Linked DNA regions of Danio rerio. Each later gene encodes a partner of the first gene's protein in a complex. Links are inferred from orthologs where the notes say so. Each region holds a gene or a part of one and is shown on either strand. Other genes may lie near its edges.

The links.
Region 2: gar1 (region 1) and wrap53 share a complex: the UniProt entries of both Homo sapiens proteins name them as parts of the telomerase holoenzyme complex. The link is inferred for Danio rerio from reciprocal best matches to the Homo sapiens genes GAR1 and WRAP53.
Region 3: gar1 (region 1) and nhp2 share a complex: the UniProt entries of both Homo sapiens proteins name them as parts of the H/ACA small nucleolar ribonucleoprotein (H/ACA snoRNP) complex. The link is inferred for Danio rerio from reciprocal best matches to the Homo sapiens genes GAR1 and NHP2.

The regions. Positions count from the first base shown.
Region 1 is NC_133189.1:48,215,110-48,218,866, forward strand, and holds the start of gar1 (H/ACA ribonucleoprotein complex subunit 1), read right to left. Parts: upstream 2,915-3,757; 5' UTR 2,823-2,914; intron 1,905-2,822; 5' UTR 1,895-1,904; coding exon 1,699-1,894; intron 1,621-1,698; coding exon 1,466-1,620; intron 518-1,465; coding exon 458-517; intron 1-457. UniProt on the Homo sapiens protein: Required for ribosome biogenesis and telomere maintenance. Part of the H/ACA small nucleolar ribonucleoprotein (H/ACA snoRNP) complex, which catalyzes pseudouridylation of rRNA.
Region 2 is NC_133182.1:20,898,590-20,902,248, reverse strand, and holds part of wrap53 (telomerase Cajal body protein 1), read right to left. Parts: intron 1,454-3,659; coding exon 1,230-1,453; intron 1-1,229. UniProt on the Homo sapiens protein: RNA chaperone that plays a key role in telomere maintenance and RNA localization to Cajal bodies. Specifically recognizes and binds the Cajal body box (CAB box) present in both small Cajal body RNAs (scaRNAs) and telomerase RNA template component (TERC).
Region 3 is NC_133196.1:33,053,651-33,057,348, forward strand, and holds the start of nhp2 (H/ACA ribonucleoprotein complex subunit 2-like protein), read right to left. Parts: upstream 2,802-3,698; 5' UTR 2,669-2,801; coding exon 2,518-2,668; intron 2,337-2,517; coding exon 2,267-2,336; intron 1-2,266. UniProt on the Homo sapiens protein: Required for ribosome biogenesis and telomere maintenance. Part of the H/ACA small nucleolar ribonucleoprotein (H/ACA snoRNP) complex, which catalyzes pseudouridylation of rRNA.

The DNA.
Region 1 (3,757 bases):
AAGTATTTCCAAATAGATATTAATTTCATGAAATCACTCAATATCACAATATATATTGTAGAAAAATGATATTGTAATGGCAGTTTTTTTTTTTCAATATCGTGCAGCCCTGGTATTATTGCATTAAATGCTGATATGAACAATTATGCTTTTGAAATGTTACAACTTTAATAACACTAATAAACTTGTAATAAATTAGCTTACGGTTATAGATTTTCACGTTTCATTTTTTTACTGATGTTACTTGTTTTAGTGTTATTTACATTTTCATTCCAAATTGAATAAAGATAAAAAAATGAGTGTAGCTTGTGACAATAATTATTATACATTTCAAATATATATTTTTTTAATTTACAAAATCAAATAAGGCAAAATAAAACTTCCTACATTTTACAAAAAAGGGGGTTCAAACATTTAAAAAACAGAGAACAAAGAAAATTCAAAAGGCTGAACTTACCTTCTGTAACTTTTTGAATGAGGATGCCTTCATATTATCAGAAAGTTTGACTGAAAAATACTGAAGAAATGATTAAGGACTATATACATAAGAAAGAAGATTGTCTGCAAGTCGTTTTCAGCACAGTTCTGATCATTTTGAACATTTAGAGGTCTTAGAAACACATGCATCTATAAATCAGTGCTTCCACTCTTTCATGGACACCAGATCCAAGCACATTTAAAGCACCGTAAATTTTCAAATCAAGGTTTTTTTTTTTTTTCAAATCCAGTCATCATTCATTTTTTTAGAACTCACCATTAATGTTTAAATCAAATTTGTAATTCATACCCAAGCATATGTAGTGCCACTTAAAGTAATTACTATACCTTACATTTCACTTACACTTAGTATTTACAATATTTACATAAGTATTGCGAGTAATAAATCATGTTCGAGGAACTTTAATAAAATTTGTTGAATTTGATACTGGTAATATTCAAATTAAGTTTCTCAAATATTGATCAAATGTGCATTAATTGTAATTACACAAAATTTAAATACACGATTAAAGAAGATTTTTTTTTTAAATTGTTTTTTTAGGGGTTTTTTTAGGGGCTCGAGACGGGAATCGAACTCGGGTCGATGCAAGCACTTCGGTGCTATGTGATGCACTAACCACTAGGCTATTGGCGCCGACTTTTATTCTGTTTTTGACAGCAGCACAGTACAAAAGTTGAAATAACACTATAAACAAATTTGGTTTGAAATTTTACTTAAGCACCGTCAAGGACCTTTGTTTGTTTTTAAGTACTTTCCAGACACTGACTCCATATGTCTGATACTCAAGTACTTTCAAGAAGCATGGAAACCCTGATAAGCAGAGCAATTCCAAGTGGATTCTTGCAGCACCTAAATATGCTACGATAGCCTTTACAGAAACGATTATAAAATAACTTTTCACTCCACATTACTATGAAGTCATCTGACAGCACTGCCAACATCATATGCAAAATAATTTAAGGATACAAAATCACGGAGCTGCCCAAAGATCTCGTCCACCTTTCCAATCTGTTCTTTGTTCTCCAGATATACAGGAGCATTGAAGTATGGGACTTTGTTCTCTTCCGTCACACATTTACAGACAATCTCATCCTCACAGGGGTGCATGAACTCCCCCAGTGCTGAAAAACACAATGAGCAGAAATATAAAATCACATCACATAAAGACATCAGAAAGACAAAATAGAAAGAAACCTTACCGACAACATATTCAGGTGGGCCATAGTCTTGGTTCCTGTTAAATCCACCTCTGCCTCCTCGACCCCCACCAAATCCGCCTCCACGACCACCTCCAAATCCACCTCCACGACCACCTCCAAATCCGCCTCCACGACCACCACCACCACCTCTGTTAAAACCTCCTCCTCGACCACCGCCGCCACCACGGAAAGACATGACGGAGATCCTGTAAAATACAATCAATCAAATCTCAGGATATATAGGGCAATAATGTTAAAGACAAATAATGTTTGTTTTTAAGTACTTTCCAGGCACTGACTCCATATGTCTGATACTCAAGTACTTTCAAGAAGCATGGAAACCCTGATAAGCAGAGCAATTCCAAATGGATTCTTGCAGCACCTAAACATCCTACGATAGCCTTTACAGAAATTACTATAAAATAACTTTTCACTCCACATTACTATGAAGTCATCATATTGTGGGTTTTTGAAAATGACCTTCCATGCAGTGTGTAACGCAGCTCTAAGTGAAGTGAAATATCCAGCTAATGTTTTAATCTGAAAGTGCACTGTGTTGTGCGAATGTGCGAATATAAAATCAAGTTTACCTCAATTTATTAGCTTGTAAACAACCTTTATTACTCCCATAATATGTATTTATCCTACTACTGTAGTCAATGGTTAAGGTTTCCAACATTTTTCAAAATATCTTCTTTTGTGTTTAACAGAGGGGGAAAAGGCCAACAGGCTTGGAAGATGTAAAGGGCGAATAAATGACATAATTTTCAGTTTTGGGTGAACTATCCTCTTAAAAGTAATCTCAGACTAAAAGCAAACTAATGCTAAAAGCAGATCAAACGTTCTTCAGTTTTGATGCAAAGGTTATTGCGAATGCTGATAATATATTAATACATGCAAGTAATTATTAGAATATCTATGTATTATCATAATCACAAACTCTCGTAAACAGAATAAAGCTCGTGGTACTAGTTATCGTACATGCTGAACCAGGCATGGAGGTTAGCTTTTAGCATGTCTAATACTTCCGAGAGTAAAACAAGGGGCGCATAATACCAAAAGATATGCTACGTACACACAATTTACTATTAAAATCAAAGAGAAAGTACAAATTTTTTATTTACCTTTAAAGTTGTGTGGTTGGAATATGAATGATCAACACGCTGTTGACTCTGAACCACACGTGCCTGCCTGCAGTGCACAGCCTGCCGTAAATGAACACCGGTTCGCAGACTGTCGTAAACACGCCAACACGGAAGTAGTAACCATAGCTGCGTCCCAAATCGCATACTTATGCACTATTCTACGCCATTTTGTAGTATAAATAGTGTAAGTAGTGTGTTCACATTGAAAACTCTCAAAATAATAAGTGCACTTTAATTACCCGGATGCTGCACTCATTCAGCCGCTAAAATGAAGTGTGTAATGATGAACACTTCACGCACTCAACGACCGCAGGTTTGCTTACGTAGCGGAAGGGGCGGAGCTATCGGACGCGCATGTTGGATAACTTTATTTATTTTGGATGGTGAAAGCAAAATTCTCCTACGAGAGTGATTATAGCGCCTCCCGATGGTGAATGCGGCAATACTCACGGCAGGTAATATTTGATAATTCGGTTGTTTATTTCACTGATTTGGCGACCGTCAAATGTCATCAGGGAAACGGTTTGAATTTCCGCTTAGTAAAAAAACATTAGTGTGCCATTTGGGACAACACTACATACATATACTATTCTGTTGAGTGTGTAAGTGCATAAGTGCATAGTGCATGAGTGCATAGTGTATAGTGTGCCATTTGGGACGCAGCTTGTGTTTGGGCATTAGAAGCGTACGTGTCAAGCGAAAGATCATAGAAATGCTAATATTTAGACTTAAGATTTAGCATTAACAGGTAGAACATTACTTTCTAAAGCAGATGGATTATTTATCCCGCTAATATAAAAAGTTCTCAACTTTACACTCAAAATGTAAAAATTATTTTGTTAGTTTAATTGGTGTCCAACACTGTGTGGGTTATTTGTAACACCCTGTTACTTGTTTAATTTGCTGGATTTTTT
Region 2 (3,659 bases), on another chromosome or scaffold:
TTTGTGCAATTTTAATGGTAGTGGAAATGCAGCTATAAACAACCTATGAAGTTGGGAAAAGTCTTACAGGTGCAGTATGTAAGTTTGAGACCCAGTGGTTGAACTAGGTATTGCATTCCTGGATCAAAACAAATGCAAGTACAGGTTGCCAGATTAAGAACCAACAGGAGCGAGCCTGACAATTGAGCTAAAGGCTGATTTAAATTATATTCTTTATATAAGTAACGGGTCGACGCGGTGGCGCAGTGGGTAGCATGTTTGCCTCACAGCAAGAAGGTCGCTGGTTCGAGCCTCGGCTGGGTCAGTAAGCGTTTCGGTGTGGAGTTTGCATGTTCTCCACGTGTTCGTGTGGGTTTCCTCCAGATGCTCCGGTTTCCCCCACAAGTCCAAAATCATGTGGTACAGGTGAATTGGATGGGCTAGGTCTGGGATGGGCAAACTTGATCCTCGAGGGCCGGTGTCCCTGCAGAGTTTTGTTCCAACACTAGTCAAAAACACCTGAACATGCCAATCAGTGTCTTCAAGATCACTAGAAATCTATAAGCAGGTGTGTTTGATTAGAGTTGGAGTTAAACTGTGCAGGACACCGGCCCTGCAGGACCGAGTTTGCCCATCCCTGGGCTAGGTTGTCATAGTGTATGTGTGTGAATGAGAGTGTGTGGGTGTTTCCCAGCGATAGGTTGCAGCTGGAAGAGCATCTACTGCGCAAACACATATGCTGTAAAAGTTGGTGGTTCGGTTCACTCCACTGTGGCAATCCCTGAATAACAAAGGGACTATGAATGAATGAATGAAAATAACACAAACAAGAAAAAGAAAAATGTATATAATATAAAATAATATAATAAATTATATTTACGTTCAACCCTTTTTCAACCTGAACAAAAGAACGTTTGTGTCACACAAGCAGAGCAATAATTACAATAGCAGGGTAGAAGCAACATCAATGAGTCAGTCACTACAAACATGCTAAGATAATTATATCCACAGCCACTGTCTAGATCAGAGCCAAGCATGCCATGTTAGCTTAATCAAGCCAAATATGTGTTTCCCGCCATGAATGTGTTTGGAATGAATCCACCCAAACAAACAAAAAGAAATTAAATGGGATTACAGGCATTCCACACCCATGCAAGCCAGCCAGTCGTCTTAATGACCCTGATTAAGACCCGTTTGAAGAGTGAGAGTGATTGATGTAGTGGTTATTCCTCTATGAGAGGGTCCCTCACCCATGGTGGGCCGCTGCTCGCAGTCTCTGCCAGGACGGTCGGTGTGGAAGACCCTGACGATTTTATCAAAGCCGCAGTAGAGCTGAGAGCCGTCAGGAGAGAAACACAGTGAATGAGCCGCTGTCAGCTCATCCAGGTGGTTGTAGGGTCGAAAAGATGCACGAAGGTCCCCATAGAAGGCGTCCCATATGTGGACCGGGTTGTCTCGGCTGCTGCTGGCAATGCTAAAGGGGAAACAAGAAGAAAGAGGAAAAATTAAATACAGTGAATGTTGCTGCAAAGACTAAAACCAGTTTTCTCCCAACAAAATCTATTGTTTTGGGGAAAACAAGAGATTGCAGTATCAGACTTGACAGTCAGTCTGGCTTCCCTTCAAAAGGCAGCACAAAAGACCCATTTACAATTGAGAATCTAACAAACGAAGAGCTACAGCAGCTTGAAATCAAAGATGACAAATATTGCTAGACAAAAAATATGAGGCTTATGTGAACATGTTCTTCCAAAAGTTTAGAAAATTCCTAGGAAAATGGATCTGGACAAAATTAGTATATATGCATACATATTTTATGATGACTTTACATTAATGGAAAACTTTTTTAAATATAATTTATAATAGTAAAGTGTTCCCTACACATATTTTGCCCAGGTTCAACTTAAAAATCCCATGATCCGCACTCATTGAGTTATTGCATTATATTTATTATTTCACATTCTTCTGGAAAATAACTATAAACATTTCAGCTCAAAGCCTTTCTCAGTGTGTGAAAAATTTTATTGACATTTGGTGAAAAGTTGGTTTACATTAATTAATTAATTGATTTAGCAAGTGCTATTTATTAAAAAAACAGTTGATTTACTCTTCATTTTAAAAAGAATGCATTAAGCAAATCAAAATTCTCATCAAAAAAAGAGAAATAAACAAAAAATGCATTATAATATCATATACAAACTACAACAGATAGGGAGTAAGGGAAAGTAAAAAAGTGGGATAAAGTAAAGTGGTCAGAGGAGATGGGTTATTTTATTTTTTGTTGATTCTACCATGATGTGGTAGGTAAAGCCACAGTCAGATAATTAATTTTTTTTGATGTAGAGTGTCGTAGTAATTCATAAAAAAGACAAATGGGCGTTGTGAAACAAGATTAAATTGTTTCTTCTTGTGTATTATTGCATAATCCACAACAACCGATGCCATGTCTGCGACGCCTCACGACACCATCGCAGAAAGTTTAGCATGTTTAATTTTTTCCCCATTCTACTCGACAAGTTCCATCACATGGGTGACAATAGGAGCACATCATTTCTCAGTTATCCGCGGGTGCTGCCGTTAATACAGGCTAGATTTTATTTTATTTAACAAACCAGTTCGTGTTTTGGGGCTGAAGCATATCAGACTTGTTTGAAGTACTTCACCTCAGATGTTATTTTTTATCTATAGTTAACTGACCAATAAAAAATACATTAAAATTAAGATACAAATTATACCACGAAAAATATACTAATTTTGTTTTGTTTTTTTGAGCCTGTCCATTACTCAGCTGTGCAGGTGGATGATTTGTTCCGCTCTGTGCAAAATAAGGATTTAAATAATCCTCCACGGTAATTGTTGCATCACAAACTTCTGTTATAAATTTGCTTATTTCTTTATTAGTCATTATTTTGACTTAAGTTAAAGTTTAAGTCTTAAATTTGTTTTCTGTCTCACTTGCTGCAAGTTCAGGCGAGGGAGTGTTTTATAGGCAACCCATAGCTGGAAAATATAGCTTACATTTAGATTTAAAGGAAAAAATCTTAATATTAAAAAGGAAATATATGTTTGATCCTATCAATGTCATAAATTCTCTTAAATAATATAGTCTAGTTGTCAGCAAGCATCAGTGCTTATTAAGATTGAAATAAGATTAAAAAAAAACATTAAAATTAAGATAAGAAACATTGTTATAGCAACACTCGTGAACGCTTTGGGAAATAACGCTCGTCGAAAACATTATGGCATGAGGGAACGTGAAGGAATGTGTAGTGATTTTATCAAGACAAAAACTGCATCATCTTGCATAGTGACTTTCGTAACCAACAATAAAAATCATGTGATTTGACCGGGGCTTAACATTATTTCACTAGCGAGAAAAGATGATTGAAAATATTGAGGAAATTTATATTGTGCCTTTTTGATTAACTAACTAAATACATAATCCAAATAAAATAAATTAGTAAAGTAAATAGCACAACAGCAATAAATAAAACAAAATATACACTGCACATTTATACAATCAAAAGGAGAAAAGCTTCTTTTTTGCACATCATTTTTCTCTTTTCAGAATGTTTTCTCAATCAGTGTAAGAAAGGACTGCCAAGTGTTCATATACAAATTAAAGCGCTCTTAGACTCTAAATATCACGTTTATAGCTAGCAGTGCTAGACATGAATTCT
Region 3 (3,698 bases), on another chromosome or scaffold:
TATTTGTTAAACTACTTTCTATGATTCTTCCAAAACTTTGTGGGTTTTTCTGGTTTTCCAAAACTTTTCCAGGCCTGGAAAATGCCATGTCAAAATTCTATGACTTTTCAGGGTTTCTATGACTGTATGAACCCTGGTTTGTTATGTAGAATATCGAAAAAATATATAGCTTAAACGGGCTAATAATTTTGTCATTAAAATGGTGTTTGAAAAATTAAAAACTGCTTTTATTCTAGCCGAAATAAAACAAATAAGACTTTCTCTAGAAGAAATAACATTATCAGACATACTGTGAAAATTTTCTACTCTGTTAAACATCATTTAGACAGGATAATAAATAAATAAATAAATAAATAAATATCTAATATATAATATAAGGGGCGGCTAATAACTCTGACTTGATTTTCAGATTTCAGGCCTGCTTGATCTCAAGTCATAACTCATAATAACTTTTTGTCTGACTGAAGCCATATTGTGTCTGATCAGCAAACTTTGATCAATGACAAAAAAATCAAAACAATTTGAATGTTACCATACAAGTTCCATGTTAACACACTTACCCATTTTAATACATAAAACTTGAGAAAATTTTTCAAATATAAAAATTCACAAAGACGAAAGCTATTATTAAATTTCATAGTTGAAAATATTTTTAAATACATAATATAATTAAATTTATAAGTGCATATAATCTATATAAATGGTAACAATTTCTTAATTAAACGATATTACATTTTACAAACAAAATACTGAAGTAATTTCTTCATGCAGAAATGATTCATGTGTAGACTATCATAACTGTTAAAAGAGGGAATTTAACTATAACTCAATGCTAAAACAGCTACTATAACATTGTTTATCAATATGTTGACCTTTTTGGATTCTCAGAAGCTATAGAAATGAAAACATGTCAAACAGAAAATACATTGGGACTAGGCATGGGATGACAACTGTTTTCAAGGTTTACCGCGGTTTGGAAAAAGTCCAGGTTTTAAAACATTCAAAATTTTCATGTATTTCATTCCTAAGGTATGTGTAAGATTTTTTATTTACGCTTTTTTAGGCCAACATCTTCAGCAGAGTAGATATCCAAATATGTCGTTTTAAATTGTAGAGAAATTTGTGTTTTTGAAGGCAGCAGAAGAACGTGTTTTTTTTTTTTTAGACATTTAAAAGAAAATATTTTAGAGTTGTGATCACAAAACTGTGATATTTCTATCTAAGGCAGTGGTTCTCAAACGTTTTTCATCAAGTACCACCTCGGAAAAAAATTGTCTTTGCAAGTACCACCATAATGAGCAGTTTTGAAATACAGTAGCGTATTAGGTCTAGTAAAGCAGCTTAAGCTCTGTACAGTTTAAAAAAAGAAATAACTCCTGGTTTGTTAGCACCTGGAAAAGTTGCCTAGACCTCATAAATATAGGCTTCATGTCATCATATTCGTATATAAATCATTTTTGATAATTTCTTTAAATATATGTAGCATGTACATATTACATATTTGATTCATCCGCGTACCACTAGAAGAAGGCCTGCGTACCACTAGTGGTACACGTACCACAGTTTGAGAACCACTGATCTAAGGTTATCATAGCATCAGAATTCTAAACCACCCATGCCTAATTGGGACCATTGTTATTGTTTACGTCCCTCAAAATGGTCTAAAGTTTCAACAGATTCAAGGATATTTTTTAAATAATTTAAATAAAATATACTGCTAGTTTTCTAAAACTAATATAGCTTTCATATACTATAACCATAAGTTAAAGATATATTTACACTATAAAGGGATAAATCACAGGGAAAAAAAATAATAACAGACTCTTTATTCTCCCTCAAGTTTATTCCTTCTGTTGAACACAAAAGATATTTTGTAACAAGCTGAAAACATTGACTACCATAGTAAGAAAAACAAATGCAATGGAAGTCAAAATATATTTGTTCAACCGAAAAAATTAAGTTAAACTGGTTTGGAACAAAATAAAAAGTGAGTAAATTATGAAAATATAAAATAACTTTTGGTTGAACCATCCCTTTAAGATGATCATACTGCGTACAAACTGAACCAAATACAACATCATGAGCTCAAATAGTTTTGTGAATTTTGTGCATTTCTTCGTGTTAAATTAAAAATTAGTATTATTCTTTGTCTAGTAGTGTAGTCAATTTGAAACTAGAATGAACTTTTTAAAAGGCTAATATGGGTTAAACCCTGGACTGATCAACCAATGGGCTTAACAAATACCTGAAAAAACCTTAATCTTACCCAGTCTCTCCTTTGTTGATAAACTTCTGTACTTCTTTGACTCCTCGTCGGATCTGTTTAACTTTAGCCGCTAAGAAAATATAAATATAATAATGAATAACACTCATAACCAATGAACAAATGACTGCAACCACGTGTCTGCAACATATTAAACCTACAGACAGCGATATTTAGTATACTTTCATTCACACTCGCAGGCAATAACGTTACTCTTTATGAATGTTAAAAACAAGTTCTGAACACGTGTTTACCTTTCTTGACGCATTTGTAGAGCTTTTTGCTAAGTTTTCGCGATGCTAGCGGGTTTGCGATTGGGTTAATATTAGCTATCAACTCTTGATATGATTTTTCCGTCCCTCCGGTTTCTTCTTCCCCGGCTTTCTCCTTCTTTACCTTTGTCATCTTTTGTTAAAATGTACACAAATATACTTTAGCGATTAACTTAAGGCTGATAGTGTTGCAGGCACAGGATGCAAGGCACAACACACGTGCGGTGACTATAAACGTATTTCCGGTGTTTTTCGAACACTGCAGTATTTCCTCCATAGAGTCGAATAATACATAGATGCCGCTCTCGACGGTGAAGTCTAGATACAGCTGCGGATCATTTTTGTATAACAATAATATTTTATTAGTAATATATTTTTAATATATTGTATAACACTGTATAACAATAATATTTTTACAGTATTGTGACGGTTGAGTTTAGGGGCAGACGTTAATGAAATACCATTTATTTATTTATAATAAATAAGTGCGGCAAAACGGCCGTTTTTACATCACTGTATAAGCTGGCTTTAGGGTTGGGGCAGACGCTAATAAAATACAATAAATAGGAAACTTAATAAACAATATAAATGATTACTGTTAATTTCCGGCCGCAACCGTATCTGAGCTAGAAACCGCTCCAGACTCCGTCCGCCAACGGTAAATTTAGCTTGCACTTACCACTTCGATTTTAATTTATAAAGAAACTGGACATTTAGAGGGGGAAATGTAGGTATTTTATAATGGCATCTTAATTCATGGTTTTATCAGCAGTATTGTGGGGAAATCATTTTACAATCTAAAGTCATTTGGAAAAATTAGTTAAACGTGTTTACTTTTCAAGAATGTATATGTTATTGTGAAAGATTACTTTTTATTATACACATCAACTAATGCATTCGTGTTGCTAAAAATACATTAAAATCTATTGTAGATATATTCACACTTGCTTGTTTTTACAGTCAACTTCTCGAATATTTTGCTCGTTACATGGCAGAATCTAAAAGAGGCATCTATGTATCTACATCTAGAATGTCGTGTTTTTGAGTTGTTTTAAAAACACTGACCCCTAGTGCACAAAATGAACAAACGAAAAGAAAAGACTTTTATTCAGTCATCAGCCTCACACATCCACTCAAAACTAAAGAGTTTCCATCATTTACAA